Schizosaccharomyces pombe: one gene and its partners. Changing the gene in region 3 together with the main gene of any one other region gives a genetic interaction. Each region holds a gene or a part of one and is shown on either strand. Other genes may lie near its edges. The genes, in order: hhf1, rad1, mcl1 and fft3.

Evidence for each region.
Region 1: mutations in mcl1 (region 3) and hhf1 together harm fitness more than expected from each alone (negative genetic interaction), as found in Schizosaccharomyces pombe (2 studies listed by BioGRID).
Region 2: mutations in mcl1 (region 3) and rad1 together harm fitness more than expected from each alone (negative genetic interaction), as found in Schizosaccharomyces pombe (3 studies listed by BioGRID, with this or other methods).
Region 4: mutations in mcl1 (region 3) and fft3 together harm fitness more than expected from each alone (negative genetic interaction), as found in Schizosaccharomyces pombe (2 studies listed by BioGRID).

The regions. Positions count from the first base shown.
Region 1 is NC_003424.3:4,698,273-4,702,253, reverse strand, and holds hhf1 (histone H4 h4.1), read left to right. Parts: upstream 1-2,654; 5' UTR 2,655-2,857; coding exon 2,858-3,169; 3' UTR 3,170-3,481; downstream 3,482-3,981. Other genes in the region: hht1 (histone H3 h3.1), read right to left, coding at 2,015-2,425; multifunctional aromatic polypeptide Aro1, read right to left, coding at 3,762-3,981.
Region 2 is NC_003424.3:4,976,572-4,981,169, forward strand, and holds rad1 (checkpoint clamp complex protein Rad1), read left to right. Parts: upstream 1-2,006; 5' UTR 2,007-2,047; coding exon 2,048-2,183; exon of another isoform or gene 2,184-2,309; coding exon 2,310-2,550; exon of another isoform or gene 2,551-2,593; coding exon 2,594-3,188; 3' UTR 3,189-3,567; downstream 3,568-4,598. Other genes in the region: SPOM_SPAC1952.06C (uncharacterized protein), read right to left, coding at 1-869; SPOM_SPAC1952.08C (pyridoxamine 5'-phosphate oxidase), read right to left, coding at 3,568-3,915, 3,991-4,215. UniProt on the Schizosaccharomyces pombe protein: Recombinational reparation of DNA damages induced by UV and gamma radiation.
Region 3 is NC_003424.3:3,282,266-3,288,094, reverse strand, and holds mcl1 (DNA polymerase alpha accessory factor Mcl1), read left to right. Parts: upstream 1-2,342; 5' UTR 2,343-2,349; coding exon 2,350-2,541; exon of another isoform or gene 2,542-2,586; coding exon 2,587-2,738; exon of another isoform or gene 2,739-2,796; coding exon 2,797-4,900; 3' UTR 4,901-5,091; downstream 5,092-5,829. Other genes in the region: DNA-directed RNA polymerase III complex subunit Rpc82, read right to left, coding at 1-1,348, 1,428-1,493; SPOM_SPAPB1E7.01C (uncharacterized protein), read left to right, coding at 5,390-5,829. UniProt on the Schizosaccharomyces pombe protein: Has a role in regulating DNA replication complexes. Acts as a regulator of post DNA replication initiation. Associates with chromatin during G1 and S phases of mitosis. Required for the transcriptional repression of the outer repeats of the centromeric region.
Region 4 is NC_003424.3:2,096,956-2,103,439, reverse strand, and holds fft3 (protein Fft3), read left to right. Parts: upstream 1-1,634; 5' UTR 1,635-2,390; coding exon 2,391-5,159; 3' UTR 5,160-5,245; downstream 5,246-6,484. Other genes in the region: protein Atg14, read right to left, coding at 1-658; SPOM_SPAC25A8.03C (uncharacterized protein), read left to right, coding at 5,655-6,484. UniProt on the Schizosaccharomyces pombe protein: DNA helicase that possesses intrinsic ATP-dependent nucleosome-remodeling activity and is required for heterochromatin organization.

The DNA of each region.
Region 1 (3,981 bases), 1.4 Mb from region 3:
AGATAGAGGGATAAACTAACCAACAGAGCAACTTAACAGAAACTAATGATACAATTATGAATTTGCCCATATAACTGGAAAGCAGGTCTTTAAGTCTATTGATATTAATAATTCAGAAAGCTTTATGACAATAATGAATATGTAATCTAAATTTTTACTAATGATTTAACATTCTTTTTAACATCGAATTCATATCATAAAAAATTTAGAAAATGCTGATTATTCAGAAACAACCAAGCATTTTGCTAATAAAAGACGCTTGTTTCAACCATTTAATGTACTATGGCAATCTACGTCTGTTTAAACGATGAAAATTACCACTGTTTTACAAAATTAAAAGAAAGTCCTTCAATTTATACAAAAAATGAATTCCAAAAACGGTCAAGTTTACAAATATGGTACTGCAGTCATTTGAAAACTAAGCTTGAATTTTATGGAAAATAGCTATTTGTTGTAAAATATGAGAATAGTTATTATAATATTAGAATATTGTTATACTAATGTACCAATTTAACGGATGCATGATGAAGCTTGAAACTACTAGCAGTAAAACATTCAGCCAAAATCAAAAAAATATAGAATATGACTTTGTTAACTGTTTAAACGACTATATACAACGATAATTTATGTAAATCACTTTATAGCATTCTTCATTGTAAACAATACTACCACTCTAATAAAGTGTGCCTTCGAATTATGGGTCGAATATATTTGGCGGCTCGTGAATATTCTTGTTCAGTAATCCCAGTGTGAAAGGTACTAATGAATATACAGAAAACAAACAAAGAAACTTGTAAAAATGAGATAACATAGCACGCAATATTAGTCGGACCCATTATTTAGATGATTGAGTACTTAAAGTAAGTTCTTCTTGAATGAGCATTGATTGACATTGGTCTTTCAAAATTTCAAATTAATCAAAGCCCTCACATTCCGGATACAATACTAAATTGCTTTTAAACTTTCTGTTGCCCGATAAACACATCCCATCCTAGATTCTAAAATTATATACTAACTAAATTAACTCTGTGAGTATATGCTTAATTCTATATTTAAATTAAATGTTGCCAATAAATTACAAATATTTTGCTACTTCACGAAATGACAGGCAATCGCAATTACCAAATATAGCAGTCAGCAGCGCTTCCTTTTTATGTTAAGAATAATCATCCGAATAAATTTCAAGGCTTAATTATGAAGTCGCTAACAAAGGACTACTTTTACTCGTTCAACTATGCTTAAGAAAGCTCTAAATTTTTAAAAATAAGAATTAAAACGACCGTTAATTCTCTTATAAATGCAATTCCAGGTTCTAAAGAGAGGTTACATAACAAGCAGGAAAGAATGACTGATTATTTTTCACGAATTGTCTATTTTTTTTCGGCCGATAAGTTCATTACATGCTCGATTTGTCTTTGCAAAATATCTTTCCGCGATATATCAAAGCTATTAAGCTATTAAACAGTTCGTAAATACCTGAAAACAGTTTGTTCATATAAATATGTGCAATTCTTTATGCGAACCGCCATTAAACGATAAAGAATGCTGCGATAACAACCAAATCTCAATACCAAAAGTGTAAAGATTTTTAAAAAAAGCATTGTCTTCGTAGTTCTGTATTCTTTTATAAAACAAAAGACATAAATTTAACAGATACTTGAAATAAAAGAAATCATGTTTCAAATAAAGGTACTTGTTGTCATTAGTTTTCATTAATGTACATAATGTGTTATCTAAACTTGTCACTCTCAAGGCTGAATTCATTCGCATGAATTAACGACAAGTTTCTATAATTGAAGATAAATTCAAACAACCAAATTAACACATATCCGTTCCCATCAAAGTGAACGTTCATCTAGCTCTTGGTAATGTAGAACAAAAACAACAATTATTCACGAAGCCTGCTTTTCACTTATTGGTAGCAACATATCAAAGGGTGACAGTATAATACAGGCAAGCAGTCAATCAAAATTAATTTAGTCTCAATTACAATTGCCAAAAGTCCTGGAGAAAATTATGAGCGTTCGCCACGGAGACGACGAGCCAACTGCATATCCTTGGGTTGAATCGTAACACGTTTTCCGTGAATAGCACACAAGTTAGTGTCCTCAAATAGAGAGACAAGGTAGGCCTCAACAGCTTCTTGGAGAGCACCAATGGCAGAAGATTGGAAACGCAAGTCAGTCTTGAAATCTTGGGCGATTTCACGGACCAAACGTTGGAAAGGTAGCTTACGAATTAAAAGTTCAGTAGACTTTTGATAACGACGAATCTCACGAAGAGCGACAGTACCAGGACGATAACGATGAGGCTTCTTAACACCTCCGGTAGCGGGAGCGGCCTTACGAGCGGCCTTAGAGGCCAATTGCTTACGGGGTGCCTTACCACCGGTAGACTTACGAGCTGTTTGTTTAGTACGAGCCATTATATCAAGCTAGTAGAATGAATATCAAATAAAAAGACAATCGAGAAAAAAATAGCTGTTGTGCTACTTTTGCCAATTGTTGATCTTTAGAATTAATGGAAACGCAAGCGTACTGCAGATATTTGCTATATATATGTTTTGAATCCACCCGATCTCATCAAAAGCAGGGTTAGGGTTTTGATGCAGATTCAAAACAAATAGACAGCGTCGCCCCAACTTCCCTCTCTTCAGACAATCATTTCTTTTAATTGTTTTTGAATACGGATAAAATCCTTTGTCAATTTGCATTGACTTTTATCCTACCGTTAACATCTGTTGACATCTATAAATTCATTGTTCCTTTGTTAGTCAACGGAAAACCCCTTTATCTTTATTATACTTAAAGAATTACGCGTTTTTTTGCGTAGATTTTAATTTTTTCTACTTCTTAACATGTCTGGTCGTGGTAAAGGTGGTAAAGGTTTGGGAAAAGGTGGTGCTAAGCGTCACCGTAAAATTCTTCGTGACAACATTCAAGGTATTACTAAGCCTGCTATCCGTCGTCTTGCTCGTCGTGGTGGTGTGAAGCGTATTTCCGCTTTGGTTTATGAAGAGACTCGTGCTGTTCTCAAGCTCTTCTTAGAAAATGTTATTCGCGATGCCGTCACCTATACTGAGCATGCCAAGCGTAAGACTGTCACTTCTTTGGACGTTGTCTATTCTTTGAAGCGTCAAGGCCGTACCATTTATGGTTTCGGTGGTTAAACTCCTATTACATTGATTTTTTTCTCCTTGTTTGTATATCACTTTATTATTTACCACTTAATTCCTTTTTTACCCCTGTCTGCTATAAATGTTGTGCAATTGTTCGTGAAATTTGAATTATCTATCAATATAATTTTTGTGGATTATTACCTCTTTCTGCGACTTTCCCTTTTTCAGCAGTCTTATAAGTTCTGTTTTTAATTGGATTTGTTCTGCATATGTTTTTATGACTAGTTTCTTTTGTAGGTGATATTATTTTTTGCAAACAATGTCTTTGAATGTCACACTTTAATAAACTTAATTATCACGTTTCGCAAAATACTTCATTTTGTAGTCGAAAGTAGATACAAGTTGGTATGCAAAATGGTACAGTAATGTTTCCACTTCTACAAGATTATTTTTGTTGTTGTAAATTTACAGCGTTCATACATTTTGCGACTGCTTACTGATCATTGACATACCAAGCGTCAATTGGCTTCCTGATTCTACTAGCTGAAGTGCTAAAAAAAATTACTTCCTGTATTTTTATTCTACATTTGTATCAAAATAGATTTCAAAATACCTAACTAAATCGAAAATTTGAATTGTTGACTTACTCAATAACCTTTTGATAAACAGCATCAAATGGTGCTGTCATTCCAGTCCACAAATGAAAAGACGCAAGACCTTGACGAACTAAAGCTTCCAATCCGTTGCAACATTTCCATTCCAAGTCAGATGCAACAGCCATTAGAGGTGTATGCAAGGGCTTGTAAGCCATGTCAAGGAATACTCCACCATCGGCTTTGTTAGCAAGCAAAGCTTTAATAACA
Region 2 (4,598 bases), 1.7 Mb from region 3:
TCAATCCCATTCAAGTTGCACACTTTCAATTTAGCTTCTTTTGAATTAGCGAGAATGATAGCTAAAATTTCAACAGCGTACTGCAAATTAGTTGATATAGAAGTTTCATCAACAGACGATCTACTCAGTAACCATTCTACCAATGTTGTGTTTTCAACTATTATTGAACAAATGCTATTGTCCACAGATAATAAATTCTCCATAAGAGAGAGCACACAATATACTCCATGTCGGTCTTCCTCATTAGATTCGTCAAACCTTTTGATTGTATTTGAAAGCAAAGGAAGCAAACCAGAATCTATAAGGGAAGTAAATAAGGAGTTTAATGCGTCTGGGTCAACATCCTCGTCAGTCAGTTCTATCAATAGCTCCAATACCGTAATAGTAATATCCGCATTTTCATGGTTCATTAATTCTAAAAACGTGGAAACACAATCTAATTTAAGGAAAATGGGTATGAGGATAGGATACTCTGAAAGCACATTGAAGCTTCGAATTTCCAGATCAAGATCTGCCTCTGATTCTATAAACCTTTGAGGAGAAGTAGAATACTTGATGCGTAACTCCTGATTATTATTAATTGTTTTTTCAAGTCGTACTACCATGCGCTTCAATTCAGTAGGAGTCAATGAAGCAGGTTCTTCCTGGGCTTCCTGTTCGTCTAAAAAGTCTAAAACGGTTTTTTCACTCTTTTTAAGCCCACTTCCAAAAAATCTACCTCCTTCCTCGTCAAATTCTTCATTCTCCTCATCGCTATTCTCTTCAGCGAGTCTTCTGCGACTACTAGCTGGCTCCAAAGAGTCTGCTTCCTCAGGGTTCCTTTTCTTATTTGTTTCCTCGGTATTTTTAAAAATTGAATCTACATCCATTTAGAATAATGTATTTTTTATGCGCCAGTTTCCTTTTCAAATTGAATATATGAAAACCGTCTGATACAAAATAAATAATTTTGACAAACTTATATTTTATAGCCGCATCAAGTAAAATAAAAGCCTTATGAAAAGACTATCGTGCAATTCAATTATAACGCCTGACTCGTTCCTAAAATTCCTCTCGTTTACCAGTTCAAGTAAAAGCTAGGTAAGATGTAGGCATGTACAAAGTGTATCAAAAGTGAAAACCAGAATCTAAGCTTGGAAAAAAATAATAACAGCAAGTAAATTCCCCTCTGTTTTATAAATATTATACAACTCTTATATCCAAGAAAGGAGAGATTGGAAGAAGGATAAAAAGTGTTTATTTAAGAGAAGAGAAGCTAAATAAAGTGCATGCAGTTAACTCGAAATTTTTTAGGTTGATTAAATAAGGAAGAAATTAGATCCATCTTGTATTACCTTTCTTTTAATTGTAGCAATGACTTTTCAAAAGAGGGTGTAAAAATGACATCCTAACTGTATATATGATAAAATTACAATTATGGATTTTCTAAAGCAATTTAAATTTAGCTATTATCACTAAAACAGTTCGGCAATTTGCAATATTTGTCTAATAAATGAACCATTTGTTTCATAAACAATCAAATTCATTAAGCTACAAATCCTTAATTGTATCTTTAGTTTTGAGTCAATCAACTTACTGGGATCCTATAGCTTTTTTGAATATCATTTGGTAAATTCAAATATGGCTCTTAAAACTTGTATTTAATTTGATAAAATTTCTGTGTCGAGAGATAAATAAATAAAGACAGTTAGAAGTAGATGCTATTCAATTAATAAATAAAATACTCGTCTATTAAGCTTTACGGCTTTCCAAAAATTTATATATCAGAATAAAATATTTCACAATTTTTTTTTTTTTAAAAAAGAAAAAGCAATCTCAATTTTCATTTCCTTTAGTAATCTGCATACCTTTTAAAATTGTGCACCTTTTCGAATTTTACTAAATAACTTCTAACTTGAACTGTCTTTCTTATTCTGCGTTTGGTCTTGTAATCAAGTGTCAAGTCCTTTAATATCAGAAGGAAAAATTATCAATTTATAAGATTAGCATTTACGGGTGTTCAAGTTGTAGCATATAACCAATTTTTTATTGTTGGACGTAAATTCGCATGTTTCAAGCAGAAACAGTATGCTTAAAGCAGATTCAGTCAACATTACGATGCATTGATTTTTCAAAGGAATGTACTATCGAAATCACAAGTCGTGGACTACGGTTTGCAGTGGAGGAATCGCAGTCTTTGCAGGGTAAGACAAGTCGAGTCTCACATCTATGATCGTTAAAAAATTTGAAGCTACTTAATAAAGTTTCATATATTAATGCGATTCTTGAAATGCATTCACTTTTTCTTTATTGTTCACTCACACATTAAGCTCACGCCTTTCTTGATAAGTCGTTGTTTCAAACGTTTAATTTTCAGGGTGATTCAGATGGGGATACATATATGTTCCAGACGATGATTTCACCTCTTTTACAATCATTATCAATTTATACAGATGGAAAAGAACGGATTTCAACTAGTGCCTGGGATCAACCCACTGTAAACATAATGCACAAACGAGGCGTTATCTGCAAAGTACAGTATAATGGACCCGGCTGTCCATTTATATGGGAGTAAGGATTTTATCATTAACATTCTGTACTGACAAAAATAAAGAGTAGAGGAAATGGCTGGTTATGCTACGGCTTGTGAACTGTTGACTATGGAATGTGAGGACGACGTTGACATCAATAGACTTGCAAGCACATTGTGCACGAAGATCATTATGAAAAGTAACTGGCTATATGATGCCTTGGTGGAATTAGACAATAACATGGGCGAAAATTTAATTATTCATACATCATCCCAAAAATCAACCTTCTTATTGAGATGTGTAGGGGCATTATCCACTACGGAAATAGAATATCCAAACGAGAAAAGTGTTTTAGAGTCTTTTGAAACTGATTCTGAAAACACTTATTCCTACCGCTTCTCATTAATAAGACATGCGCTGAAAGCATTACAAGTGGGTTCTAAAGTAAACCTACGTATTGATGAAAATGGAACTTTGAGCATTCAAATCATGCTTGTCGGTCAAGAAGGGCTTTGTACGTTTGTAGACTTTTGTATTGTTCCTTTGGACCTTGTAAGTGAAGATGAGGAGGAGGATGAAGAAGAAGAACCAGCAGAATCTAATCAGTCGGACAATAACGTTTTACGAAACGATCCGAATTATCGAGGAGATGCGGAGACCGAGGATGAGGATAGCTAAATGATAATTTTAGCACTCAGCACTTTAGTGTTTCCGATAACTTCAAAAAAAGAAAAAGGTACAATTGATACTGAACAACTTATGATAATACACTTATTCAACGAATCATGATTTATTTCCCTGCTTTTTGTTTGGTCTTATTTAGGTAGCTTAAAGTCACACCGTTTCCTCACTTTTTCTATGCTTATTTAACACACGTATAAACAAGACGCTTTCCACTAGGCTGTCTAGCAAAGCATGTAGCCAACAAAATTCCCATGTATCATACACACGATTATACATTATGGTTAGATCTACGAAGCATTCAAAAATTCTTCAAACATTATTGATTTTTAAAAAATAGAAAATGCAAAGTGACACTCATAAAACATTTGTTTACTCAAAATGGAGTCTCATCTCCTCTTGCATTCCATTTTTGGACGTTGTTGAGTCTCTGATCACAAATTCTCGCACTTTCCAACTTTATCTTGATAATTCTCATATCCTCACCCTCCACGTATTGTTTCGTATTACCCTTGTCATTAGTGTTTAAATGCTTTTCTCTAAAGAATTCCTCTTCTTTGCTATTCTTTGGAAGAACGGTAGCAAGGCCATTCAAGGTCACTGATGTATTCGAGAACTGAGCCTGATTCATTTTATAAAGTAAGGTGTACAATGAGGAGGCATCAGGATCTGTTTCTTGACGATTAGTGGTCCAGTCATGAACTAGTAATGATACTCGAGGATTCTAGTCATCATGTTAGAAAAAAGAAAATACCAATCAGGATCAAGGATAAGTTAAACTTTTAAATATGATACATACCGAACTGATGTTAAAATATTTTTTACTGTTTTCTCCTGTTGACAAAATAATGCAATCCTCCACTTCGTAAGGGGCAGCGCTTCCTGCAGGTAAATAGGTAAATGTCATCAAAGAAGAGTGAGGCTGATCATGAAAGCAAGTAGCTAGTTGAATATATTTGGATGAGGACAAGCATCTCTTGATTTGGCTGGGGAACTCATGAGATGAATCGACTTTTGAGGCCATATTTACTTTCAGGTTATTGTGGTGCGACAAAGATTATAATTTGCAGAATAAATACTGGTGAATGGAAACTATTGATCCAGACAAAACTGTACGATAATTTCTATACTTGATTATCCTTTCCTAAATTTTGGTGGTACTCCTCTCTGAGTAAGCAGGTTTGATACTAGGTTAATAGCAGAAATGCTGACTCACAACTCAACGTAATATAGAGGTATGTACTAAACAGCCAACTTACGAATTTTGCAGGGGAACTAAAGATTAATAATCTTCAAAGGAATACTGCTCATAAAATAAACGCGCTCATTTCTGTGTATCTTGGAAAATTCATACGCATTATGATTGTTGGATTTACTTACTCAAAACTAATTTCCTTAACTTATAAA
Region 3 (5,829 bases):
CGGTTCGTAAATCTCTTTGACGAAGGAGAGCAATATTCGCCAACTGCTTTTCCTCAATTTTTCCCTTATCTTTTATGATACGCAGTAAACGAATAGCTCTTTCCCCAAATTTTTGTTCTATAAAATTTTCATATTCTATGGCTCGCAGCATGTCGGTTAAATGGGTAAAATTGACCGCCCATTCACCCATTCCTCGATTGCCTATTTTTGAAATAAATTTTAATGAGCAATCTGCCAAAAGCTCCAGGTGTTGAGCCAGCACCTTGCTCTTGCGATTTGCGTTTTCATCAACACTTTCTTCATAATTATCTTCCTCAGCAAGTTCATCTAGTTCATTCAACTTTTCCATGACACGCAATTCGTTAGAGGCAGAATTTACGCTATACTGTTTATCGACAATCGAACTCTCAACGTCGATATCATTCGGAAAGTTTCTCGTAAGCTCCATTGTCGTGAGTGTAAAGACCGGAGATTGATTGGAAATACTAAATAATCTGGGTTCCAACATAGAAAGAACGTGAGAATAGACAAGCGAAGTTGATTTACCAATTCTTCTTTCCACCCAATGGGTAAGCCTGGCATTTTTTGAGAGGACAGAAAGTTTTCCTGAATTTATGCGAACATGCGCGGATAGATCAGGTACAAGGATGCTATTATCATCGTCTAATATATTATTCAAATCCGTTGATACAGACGGAGCAGAGCCAACAGCACGTTTCCTTCTTTTTGTTGGATGTGGTATTGATTCCTTTGGCTTCCTGGTAAGTCCTTGTAGTTCTGACATATCTGCTGCACGAAGCTCTAACATTTCCAAGGCGACAGAATCATCAACCTCTCTATTTTTTTTTATTTCAGACACGTTTTCTGACTTTCTGCGATCTAAGTGCTTGATCCGGAGTTGCATTTCCTGATCTCCTACTGGTATTAAATGTCTCGGTTGCACTACTAGCAAAAACTTTTGGTAAATCAATTCCGTTAGATTTTTCTGCATCATACGGCTTTCTTCATCACTCCCATCAACCTTTTTATCGAAAGCATTGAATACTTCGAGTACACGTGCACGTCCTTGGGTACTAAGATATTTTACCACAGAGGCAGCCTCCTGGTTTAATTTTTGAGATATCAAATATACATCTTTACCTTTGCGAAGAATGTTATAAATTTCCTTCCATTGGGTCTCATAATATGTGACTTCACGTACATTTTCAATGACCGTAACGTACAAAACCATATGATGCTGCATTAAACTGACAAGTGCTTGTCGAATTTTTGGTCCTGGCAACGAAGTCCGTTTTTGTAGCATGGGAATCGTTAAACGACCATGCCTCAAAAGTGCACTAGCTACTGCCTAAATTGACAATAAATTGGTTAATACAAAAGACTTTGCAACCTCAACTTCAGATTTAGAAATACAATTGAATCCTTACCGAGCAACAATCACCGAAAAATTCCTCTACGAGAATCTCACACAGTTCTACAGCATACTGTGACATGATCAAGCAGATTACCAATCTTGCTTGGAATGGTAAATTGTTTGGCAGACGTAACTACAAAAAAGCAAAGATTTCACAACCTAGAGTATGCCAATAGCCTGTATTTTGTGCGTCGTTAAAGCAGCGTTAACATTTATAGTGTATCACTCTAATACAGAATAAAACTTTAACGATGTGCAAAAACGATTTTCATATTACTTTTTGAAAAAATACATACATATAATTACTGCGAGTATTAAATGAATGATCGAAATCTAATTGTATGATTAATTTATTTAACTTCTTTTTAATTTTCCTGTGAGAGGCTCCACTAGGTTTCTCAATTCCATTTCCATGTCGTTGATTTTTTGTGGTTTAATCAAGCATGACTTATCTGCAGATTCTGTTTTATAGCTTGTCATGGTAAGCATTAATTAAAATACTAAAAGACAATAGCTAATTGCATATTTTTCCTCCATTTAGAATATTGCTGTGCGGCTGTTTGAACATTTATAGCAGACATTTCAAAACTTTTTAACAGAACTGCTCTAATGGAACATCAAATACAACTTCAGAGTAATTAAAAAAAGCTCTGAAATGATTAAAGTTAAATTATTCCTATAGTCTCACATATAAGTTACTTTAGTATTAATTTCTAATTGTTAGCAGATGATTAAAAGCATGGATTGCATATTTTCAATCGTACTTGCATATGAAAATAAATTGTAGACAAACATTTGCAATTTCTCAATAGTGCTTTCGTGGTAGATTTTTTATTTAAATGTTTGTTTACATTAAATAGCGTAACTAGCTAACGAAAGTATCGCTATTGCCATACTAGTCCCAATCTCATATACAAACTCTTCCTCTAGCTATTATGGCAGGGAATAGGCTAGTTCCTAGATATGCCCATACAGATGGACTGACGCGTCTAGCGTATACTCGTGATGGGAAATTTCTTCTTACGGTCGGTTCTAATCAAGTAATCCGAAAATTTCAGGTTGGTTCTGATGAGGAACCCGACTCCATTGATAATCATCAAGATCCTATAACAGGAATTGCAGTTGCTGTAAGTGGTCCTCAAAAAAGTTTGGAGCTAATGACTTTTATATAGGAAAATTATTTTTGTACTTGTTCAGAAGATGCAACTGTCTGCGTATATCCCATCGATTCTCCTACCGAGCATACATTGCTGGCGCGTACTACTCTTCCTATTCGCGATGTGGCATATTCAGTAGATGGAAATTGGATTGCCATAGCTAGTGAGTAAGTTTTTTTTAGTGTATAATGCTCTACTTGGTCGTTTTCAGCCTAACAAATATAGTGAAACAGCAGTGAAAGTGGTTTCGTCCACTGATTCTTCACAAATTTTCTCTCTTCGTCCAGCTAAGGCTTCGAATAAACATGTAACTTATAGCCCGAACGGAAATTTTTTAGCAGTTTCCAGTTGCAATGGAATTTTGTATTTTTATGACACCCAAACTCGTGAACTCATCAAGTTCTTAACAAACACTATTGCCTCTTTAGAGGCAGAATCAGAAATTTGCTCAAAGGCGGCTTGGCATCCTAAAAACGGGACATTTGCAGTTGCGAGTACCGACCATTTTGTATCAGTTATTTCCCCTGATGACTGGCTTCCATTGTACAAACTTCTTCCAAAAGAGAATCATTCTGGTGTAACAGATATCTCCTGGTCCAGTAATGGAATGTACATAGCTGCTTCATTTAAAAAAGGAGGCATTTTAATTTGGGATACACAAAGTCATGAAGTAGTCGTTGAGCTCCCCTATAGTACAGTGGTGGCACTCGCCTGGCAGCCATTTGAAAACGTGTTATCATTTACTACAAATCAGGGAATTTTGTATTCATGTCCGGATGTCATTCCTAAATCAATATTGAAGGAAGAAAATGATCCTACGAAGCCTTTGACTTCGTCAAAAAGTAAAAACCGTACTTCCAAAGAGCTTGATGATCTTTTTGGTTCTGACGATGAGCAAAGTCAGAACGTCAATGATTTGGATGGGAACTCTGCCAACGAGGAAAATGAGTTTATCAATCATGATGGATTGGATTCATCTTTGGACCTAGATGGTGATAGTTATATGGTTGATGAAAACGACTTAAACCTTGCAAAGAAAAGAAAGCAGAAGGCGTTGATCGACAGAACTACAACAATAGAGAATGGTTCTAGTAAAAGACGTTTACTGCAAGCCTCAATACATAAACCCGTTCATACTGGAAGTACACCATGGCAGGGTAATAGAAGATATCTATGTTTGAACTTGGTAGGGTTTATCTGGACTGTACAGCAAGATGCAGAACACAACACTATAACGGTTGAATTTCATGATGAAACTACTCATAGAAAATATCACTTTGTTGATGACCAAAAATTTGAAATGGCATGCTTAGATCATGAAGGTGCTTTGTATGCTTCGCCTGCAACGGAAAGTTCACCTGGTGTTATTTATTATAAAGCACATGTTGATTGGTCGCGTAAATCTGAATGGGCAATGGCTTTACCCATGGAGAATGAAAGTCCTGTGACAATTTCATTAAGCTCAAGCGTTGTACTGGTATGTACGAGTGCTGGATATGTTCGCGTATTCTCAAGACAAGGCTTTCCAATTAGCATTCACAGGAGTAAACACTTGCCATTTGTAGCTTGTTCATCTTTTCAGGATACGATTATAACCATCGCCAACGATGGTTTGAGCTCTGATGGAAATTCTCGTCTTGTTTATTCCATTGAAGACATTTCTCGTGATGAAATGTTGCAAACTGGTGATGGGGTTGCATTACCACCCCAAGGAACGTTAGAGAGTGTTTTCTTTTCGGATGTTGGAGATCCTTACATCTACGATTCAACTGGGGTATTGTTGGTATTAATGCATTGGCGCATACCAGGACAAGCCAAGTGGATCCCTGTTTTAGATACAAATGAATTGGAGCGTCGCAAATCACGGCAAGAGTCTTATTGGCCTGTAACTGTTGCCGATAATCAGTTTCACTGTATATTGCTAAAAGGAGCCTCTCGATATCCCTATTTCCCTCGTCCGATGTTTACAGAATTTGACTTTCGTATTCCTTGTAATACGAACAATCCGGATGCTTCTACATCTGTTCCTGTTTTAGAAGAACTACAACTCCGTAATAAACTATTTTTGACTTTATTGGAAGATAGCATAGGAGATGGCGATGTTACGGAGGACGAAAAAATAAGCATTGCTAGACTAGAAGCTAACATTGACAAAGCCTTGTTGCAACTTATTCAAAAGGCTTGTCTCGAGGAAAGAATCGAACGTGTCTATGAATTGACAAAAACTTTGAGAAGGACAACAAGTATTGCTGCTGCTCAAAAGATTGCGCTCCACCATTCCCTTACAAATGTTGCTGAAAAAATTGGTAATCTACTATCTAACGTCTAAACCCTCACGTCTTAATTTTTATGTAACATTATTTTTTGCATATTAGTAGCTTGAGCTAATCAAAAGGGGTTTGAAGCAAAGCTATGCAGAAGTTTTGTCACGATCTTGCTCCTTTCTAAATTCATTTATATAAGCATCTAGCACTTTGATTTTTTTCTCATTTTTGTATTTAATAAACACATTTCATTTTGTTTACCATATAACCTCTATGTTTATATGTCAGTATATTCGGCATATATTTCGAGTCTATTTAGAAATTGCACAGGGGTACAAAAAATTGATTCATAAGAAAAGGTGGAAACATTTTTTAAAATGACAAAGAGTCACAAAGGAATTTGTATTCTTTTCCTTTCTGAAATGAAATAAAATCTAATGTAGAAACTGCAAAGCTCAGTGCCTTAGGGTGCGTTACAGTTCGTAAAGTTGCAGACACTAAGTGCAGTACAACTTTGTAAAGTGCCAAGCTGCAAACGAAAACACAATTTTAGCATGGAACAAAAAGTGAGTGCGGATGTGTTATTGAATAAATATCAAACATCCATAAGCATCACAAAAAACTTAATCAATTCGTGGTTGGGAAACGAAAATACATCTGTCAGTAGCGATGAAAAAAATGACGATCCACCGTTACAAGCTAGGCCGCCACGGTTAGGGTTGGGTGCTAGTAGAAAAGACCAGTCAGAAAACAGCTGGGTTACTTCCAAAAATGAGAAATTGAAAAGCCTGCCACCGGCATTAAAGAAGAAGATTGAAAGACAGTTGCAGAAGAAGAAGGAAGCTGAAAAAATTGAAGGCGGCAAAAACCACGACAATTTAAAGCGAAAATTGAATAAAGTAGGCGATGAATTGAACGAGCAACAGTCTGATACTGATGATGATGATGATGATTCAAAGGCTCGCATTACTAGCCGATCGAAAAGAGCTAACGC
Region 4 (6,484 bases), 1.2 Mb from region 3:
TATAAAAATGTCCTGTTTCATTGTCACTATGAGATAAGTCGGATTTCGAATTGCCCATTGATAATTTTGAAAGTCTATACGCAAGAGATGAATCTATGGAGTCAGGGTTAAACTCTGATCCCATTTGAGCAGATTTTTGAGTGCAACCCTGAGTGTTAAGCACTAAATCCCTTTGCCAGTGAAGTTGATACATATCCAAAACCCTTGTTATCAGCTTCTTTTGATACTCATGCAATTTATTTTGAAGTAGCTCAGAACGGCGATAAGCTGTAAGGTATTCCTTAGAGAAATAGTCACTCGTTGAATGTGATAAGCCAGCTAACTTTTGACTCGCGATATTAATTGATTTTTTGCGATTAGACAAGTCATCTTCTATAAGCTGTTTGCGGGAATGCAAGTCACACGATAACGATTTCTTTTCGTTTAGAGAGGCAGCAAGGTTCTGTAGTCGATAAGTTAATTCCTCTTTTTGGGTAATCTTTCCTTTTAGAGAGAAACTTTCTGATTTCAATTTAGCAACCTTTTCAAGCTCTGACTCAATATCTCGAGAGAATTCATCACGTTTATGATAAAAATCATAAAGCTGCTTTTTTAAACAGCTTTCGCAAATAGAAGGACGTCTTGTTTCGCATAATTGGCATTTATTGACATGCAGCATACAAACACACCTTCAGTTTAGATCCAACAATGCCTTCAAGTGGTACGCAAATTTCAATTATAGCACAGCAATAAGAAAACTTAAAAACCCAGCAGGATATTAATTTCCTACTACGTTAACTGTCAACTTGTATACAATATAGGTGTTGTTAAAATAATGAAGCAAAAACAAAGAAGAAAAAGGGAAAAAAAATAAACAGCGCAGGTTTTTAAACAATTATTCTTAGAAACGAAGGGCCTCCTAACGGACAAATTCAAAAATATTAATTTAAAAGTGAAACTGCATTCCTGGCTGTTCTTGCAGAATTGAACAACCAATGCGATATTTTTGACAGAAAAAACGACAAATATTAAGAAAAAATTATATTATACGAATTCAATGCAATGAGTAGATGGACTTCTATTTCTTCAAATCCCCGAAGTAGCTACTTAGCAGTTGATGTTCGTATTGATTACTACAATCGTATGCAAATAGTTACTTTATAAAGCGTTTAAAAATATTTCCTTAAAGTAGCCTGTTACTCGACACTCAAATTTTTGCTAAATAACTTTGAGTGATGAGCAAGGTGTTTTACAAAACTATTTTATCTAAATAAATAGGTTAATAAAATATTAACTAAATAATATAATCCTAGAACCCAAACCATCCTCTTTTAACATTAGCTTTTGCAGTATCACCTAGAAAACATAACGTGGTACGCTGCCATAATATAACGAAACACTATTTGTTGTCATATTTCTTAAGGTTCAGTGACAAAAGATCTCTAGTATCTGCAGTTATGTTTAATGATTTTATTAAAACTATAAAAGAATAAAGACAATTTCGCCACGGTATCTTTTGCTAAATGTTTAGTAATATAAAGAGCAAGTTGCCATCATGATATAGCTTTACCATAAACTACGTTACAACGTTTAAGGCATTATTTAGCATCAGTATTTGGGACCACTACCACCATATCACGCCCCCGTGCCACATCAAGAACAAACTACCAGCATAGTGTGCTCTTGAATTATACCGAATAATTCCATAATACAAAAGAAGGTATTGGGTGACTGGAGTCTTTTTCTTTAACAATCCGATTCATTGAGTGTTATTATTTTAATTTTGGTAATTTTCTTTTTCTTTTTTTAAACAAAGATTGTTTTTGGATAGCCAAAGTATAAGTCGTTTTTGGTGATCTTTAATTGCGAGTATTTGTTTATTGCTAGAGCTTACCAAGTTTGCTTCATCTTAAACATCAGGAAAATTTTAAATTTATATTTTAAAATTTTTTTGTCTACTTTTCATTTACATTTTATTTTTCTTCATTAAATTCTGCATATCATCTCGAAACAACGCTTATGTATTAGAAGAAGGTGGTCTATCCTAATTAACTCATACACATCTCGTAACTAAAGGAATTGTTTCTTGTTTTAGAAATTGCAATAAGTTTTGGCCCTCAAAATTTTTTGTAATCTGCTGTTCCCATATTAAGTTTTCAACTATTTGAGTTACCAAGAAACGCGTGAAACAAGAAATCTGTATTGTTTTGTCGTTATTTCTTCCATTTTAATTAATCTTAGGAGAATTTAAAAAGTTTCAATCTTTTTGCATCTATTCTCGGCGCTCTTAATTCGTGTGATAAAATTATTCATAATATACACGTGACCTTACATATTTTTTCTCCAAATCCTATATTTTAGATTCAATTTTCTTTTGCCATTTGCTTGGATACATTGATTGTTACTTAATTATGGATGGAAAAAGAAAAATAGAGCATACCGCTGATGGCACGCATTACGACGCGACTTCCAACGTGAAGCGCAAGCCAATTTTCCCCCCTTTCATTGCTGATTCGCTTTCAGAAGCTACCGAAAAAGCTAATGTTATGGGGGGTGGTATGAATTCGCGACTTCAGATTCTTTCAGAGATGTCTAAACGAGTTCAGGCTACTGCACCCATTTCAAGTTTAGAACATTTCAAGCAGTTGAGTGATATTTCTCCCTCATTTACTTCCTCTGCTAACTCCATAAATCAACCATATAATTATTCCGGTTCGTTAGAAAATCTTGTTCCTACACCTTCTGCTGGCACTCCTTCGCAATTTATGGATGCCCAAAATCCATACGGCGCTGTTTACAATGCTTTATCTCAATTCTCTGAGACAGAGCCCAAAATGCCCTCTTACATGGATGACGAAGAAGCAAGCGATTCTTTACCTCTTTCATTATCGTCTCAATCACTGAGTTCACAGGTTACAAATCAAAAGCCAGCCCCACATCGTCTTACAATGAGAGAACGATATGCTGCTAATAATCTTACTAACGGACTTCAATTTACCTTGCCATTGTCATCTCGAAAGACTTATGAGCCTGAAGCTGACGATGACAGCAATGATGATATGTACTCTGATGATGATTCAAATGCAGATCGCTGGGCATCTCGTATAGATACTGCTGCTCTAAAGGAGGAAGTTCTTAAATATATGAATCGTTGTTCAACACAGGATTTGGCTGACATGACAGGTTGTACGCTTGCTGAAGCTGAATTTATGGTTGCCAAAAGACCTTTTCCAGATCTTGAATCTGCTTTGGTCGTTAAGCAACCTCGTCCGGTGATTCCCAAAGGTAGACGAGGTAGACGTGAAAAAACTCCTCTTGGACCACGTTTAGTTGGTATATGTATGGAAATTATGCGTGGTTATTTCGTAGTGGATGCGCTTATTCGTCAGTGTGAGCAGCTAGGTGGTAAAATTCAGCGCGGCATTGAAGCGTGGGGCTTGTCAAACACTGCTACATCTGATGAAGGTGAAACTTCTCTTGTCAACTTTGATCAAATGAAAAGTTTCGGTACGCCTGCAAATTCCTCGTTTATCACTACACCTCCTGCATCTTTTTCGCCCGATATCAAACTACAGGATTATCAGATCATTGGGATTAATTGGCTTTACCTTTTGTACGAGCTCAAACTGGCTGGTATCCTGGCTGATGAAATGGGGCTCGGTAAAACTTGTCAAACCATCGCTTTTTTCTCATTACTCATGGATAAAAATATTAACGGGCCACATTTGGTAATTGCACCTGCTTCAACGATGGAGAATTGGTTACGTGAATTTGCCAAGTTCTGTCCCAAGCTAAAAATTGAACTTTATTATGGATCGCAAGTCGAACGTGAAGAAATTCGTGAACGTATCAACTCTAATAAAGATTCTTATAACGTTATGTTAACCACCTACCGTTTAGCCGCTACTAGTAAGGCTGATCGTTTGTTTTTGCGCAACCAAAAGTTCAATGTTTGTGTATATGACGAAGGTCATTACTTGAAAAACCGTGCGTCTGAGAGATATCGTCATTTGATGAGTATTCCTGCCGACTTTCGAGTTTTGCTAACTGGTACACCGCTACAGAATAATCTTAAAGAATTAATTTCGCTTTTAGCGTTCATTCTTCCTCATGTATTTGATTATGGTTTGAAAAGTTTAGATGTCATTTTTACTATGAAAAAATCCCCAGAAAGCGACTTTGAACGAGCATTGCTTTCAGAACAGCGAGTATCGAGAGCCAAAATGATGATGGCCCCATTTGTCCTTCGCCGTAAAAAGAGCCAGGTGTTAGATGCTTTGCCGAAGAAAACGCGTATTATAGAATTTTGCGAATTTTCCGAAGAGGAACGTCGCCGTTATGATGACTTCGCTAGCAAACAAAGTGTAAATTCTTTATTGGATGAAAATGTCATGAAAACTAATTTAGATACGAATGCAAATCTTGCAAAGAAGAAAAGCACAGCTGGTTTTGTGCTTGTACAGCTTCGTAAGCTTGCGGATCACCCTATGTTGTTTCGAATTCATTATAAAGATGATATCCTTCGACAAATGGCGAAAGCTATTATGAATGAACCCCAATACAAAAAGGCAAACGAACTTTATATATTTGAAGACATGCAGTACATGTCAGATATTGAGCTACATAATTTGTGTTGCAAATTTCCGTCTATCAATTCATTCCAACTTAAAGATGAACCTTGGATGGACGCCACAAAGGTCAGAAAACTTAAAAAACTGCTCACTAATGCTGTTGAAAATGGCGACAGAGTTGTATTATTTAGTCAGTTTACACAGGTTTTGGACATTCTTCAACTTGTCATGAAATCATTAAATCTAAAGTTTTTAAGATTTGATGGTTCTACACAAGTCGATTTCCGCCAGGATCTCATCGATCAATTTTATGCTGATGAAAGCATTAATGTATTTCTTCTTTCTACCAAAGCCGGCGGTTTTGGTATCAATCTTGCGTGTGCTAATATGGTTATTCTTTATGATGTCTCTTTCAATCCATTCGATGACCTTCAGGCGGAAGATAGAGCACATAGAGTTGGCCAAAAGAAAGAAGTTACAGTTTATAAATTTGTTGTCAAGGATACCATCGAAGAGCACATTCAACGTTTAGCCAACGCTAAAATTGCTTTGGATGCGACTCTTTCCGGCAATGCCGAAACTGTGGAGGCTGAAGATGACGATGATTAGTTTATACAGGGTTTTTTATGCATTAGTTTTAAAATAGTCAAATTGATTAGGTTTCTACTTTATTCGAGTAAACCTTTCTCTTTATTTTCAATTGTATTATCTGTATTTGTGTTTTGCACGTTATAAGTCGATCCCGTTTCACTAAATCAGATTAAAAGATTTGATTTGTAAAAGTAAATTCTATTTATTGAATGATACAAATTCAGTACTTCTTCAACCTAATATGAAAGCTTTTAGCTTCTTGACACCATTTATATACCACGCCAAAAACGCGTCGTGAAAATGGTCAGTCTTTTTTGAAGATAATACAGCAAATAAGCGATTCTTATTATCCAAAGTCGTTCTAAAACTTGCAAAACAAAAGTTGACAGAGGAAAGCACTTCACCTAGTAAGTTTATGAAATCATATTATTACATTTTATTTCTCAACTTCGAATAATAGTAATCGAATAAATAATGAATTTTGTTCAATTTTAATACTACAAAGAGTGTTAAATGCTGAATCTTTATATGTGGAAGCTAAGTCGCTCTCAAGTTTATCAAGCTTCATTATTATTTGGAAGCAGAGTAATTAGTGCTCTTGCATTTACAAATACCGGTCTAGTTTTGCATGGCCCAAGAAGATGGTATACTACTGATAATGGATTTTTGTTGCACCGCGATTCTAAGGTTTCGTTAGCCGATTATATTCATGAATCTACGTTTGATCCCAGCAAGGGTTACTATTCTCGACTTTGGACAGGCTCAACCAATAATTTGAGCCATTCTGTACATGTATTAAGGAAAGAAGGGCATAAATGTTCCAAAGAATTTGATCCTTTTTTGCATGGAATACCTATTCCTCAAAAGGCATTAAACATCTATGAAAAGCAAAGGTCTCTATTCTCTGAGTCCATTAGTAACTACTTGGTGTTGCAGTATAAACTTCGATATTTCCCGGTGTTTGATTTGAAAATATATGATTTTCATTCTGGGACTGGAATAATAGCATTGGATATTCTTGATTATCTTTATAAAAATCACCTTGAAGTTTATGGACGTACTACATACAATATAGTCTTGCATAATTCTTGGCAAGCAAGCTGGTTTAAGAGCATGTTGACATCTGTGAGATATGCAAAGCATGGAGATCATATTGATATATATGTTAGTGATCCATTAACGTGGAACCATACTGATACAAATCCTTGCTTTGTATTGGCATTACAGGTAATTAGCTCCTTCGGTCATGATTTATTTCGTCAGAGTAACGGCGCCATGATGATGGAACGGTGCTGGCTTGGTCCAGAGCACTTTTTAAACGAATTCTTCACTCTAAATACTCA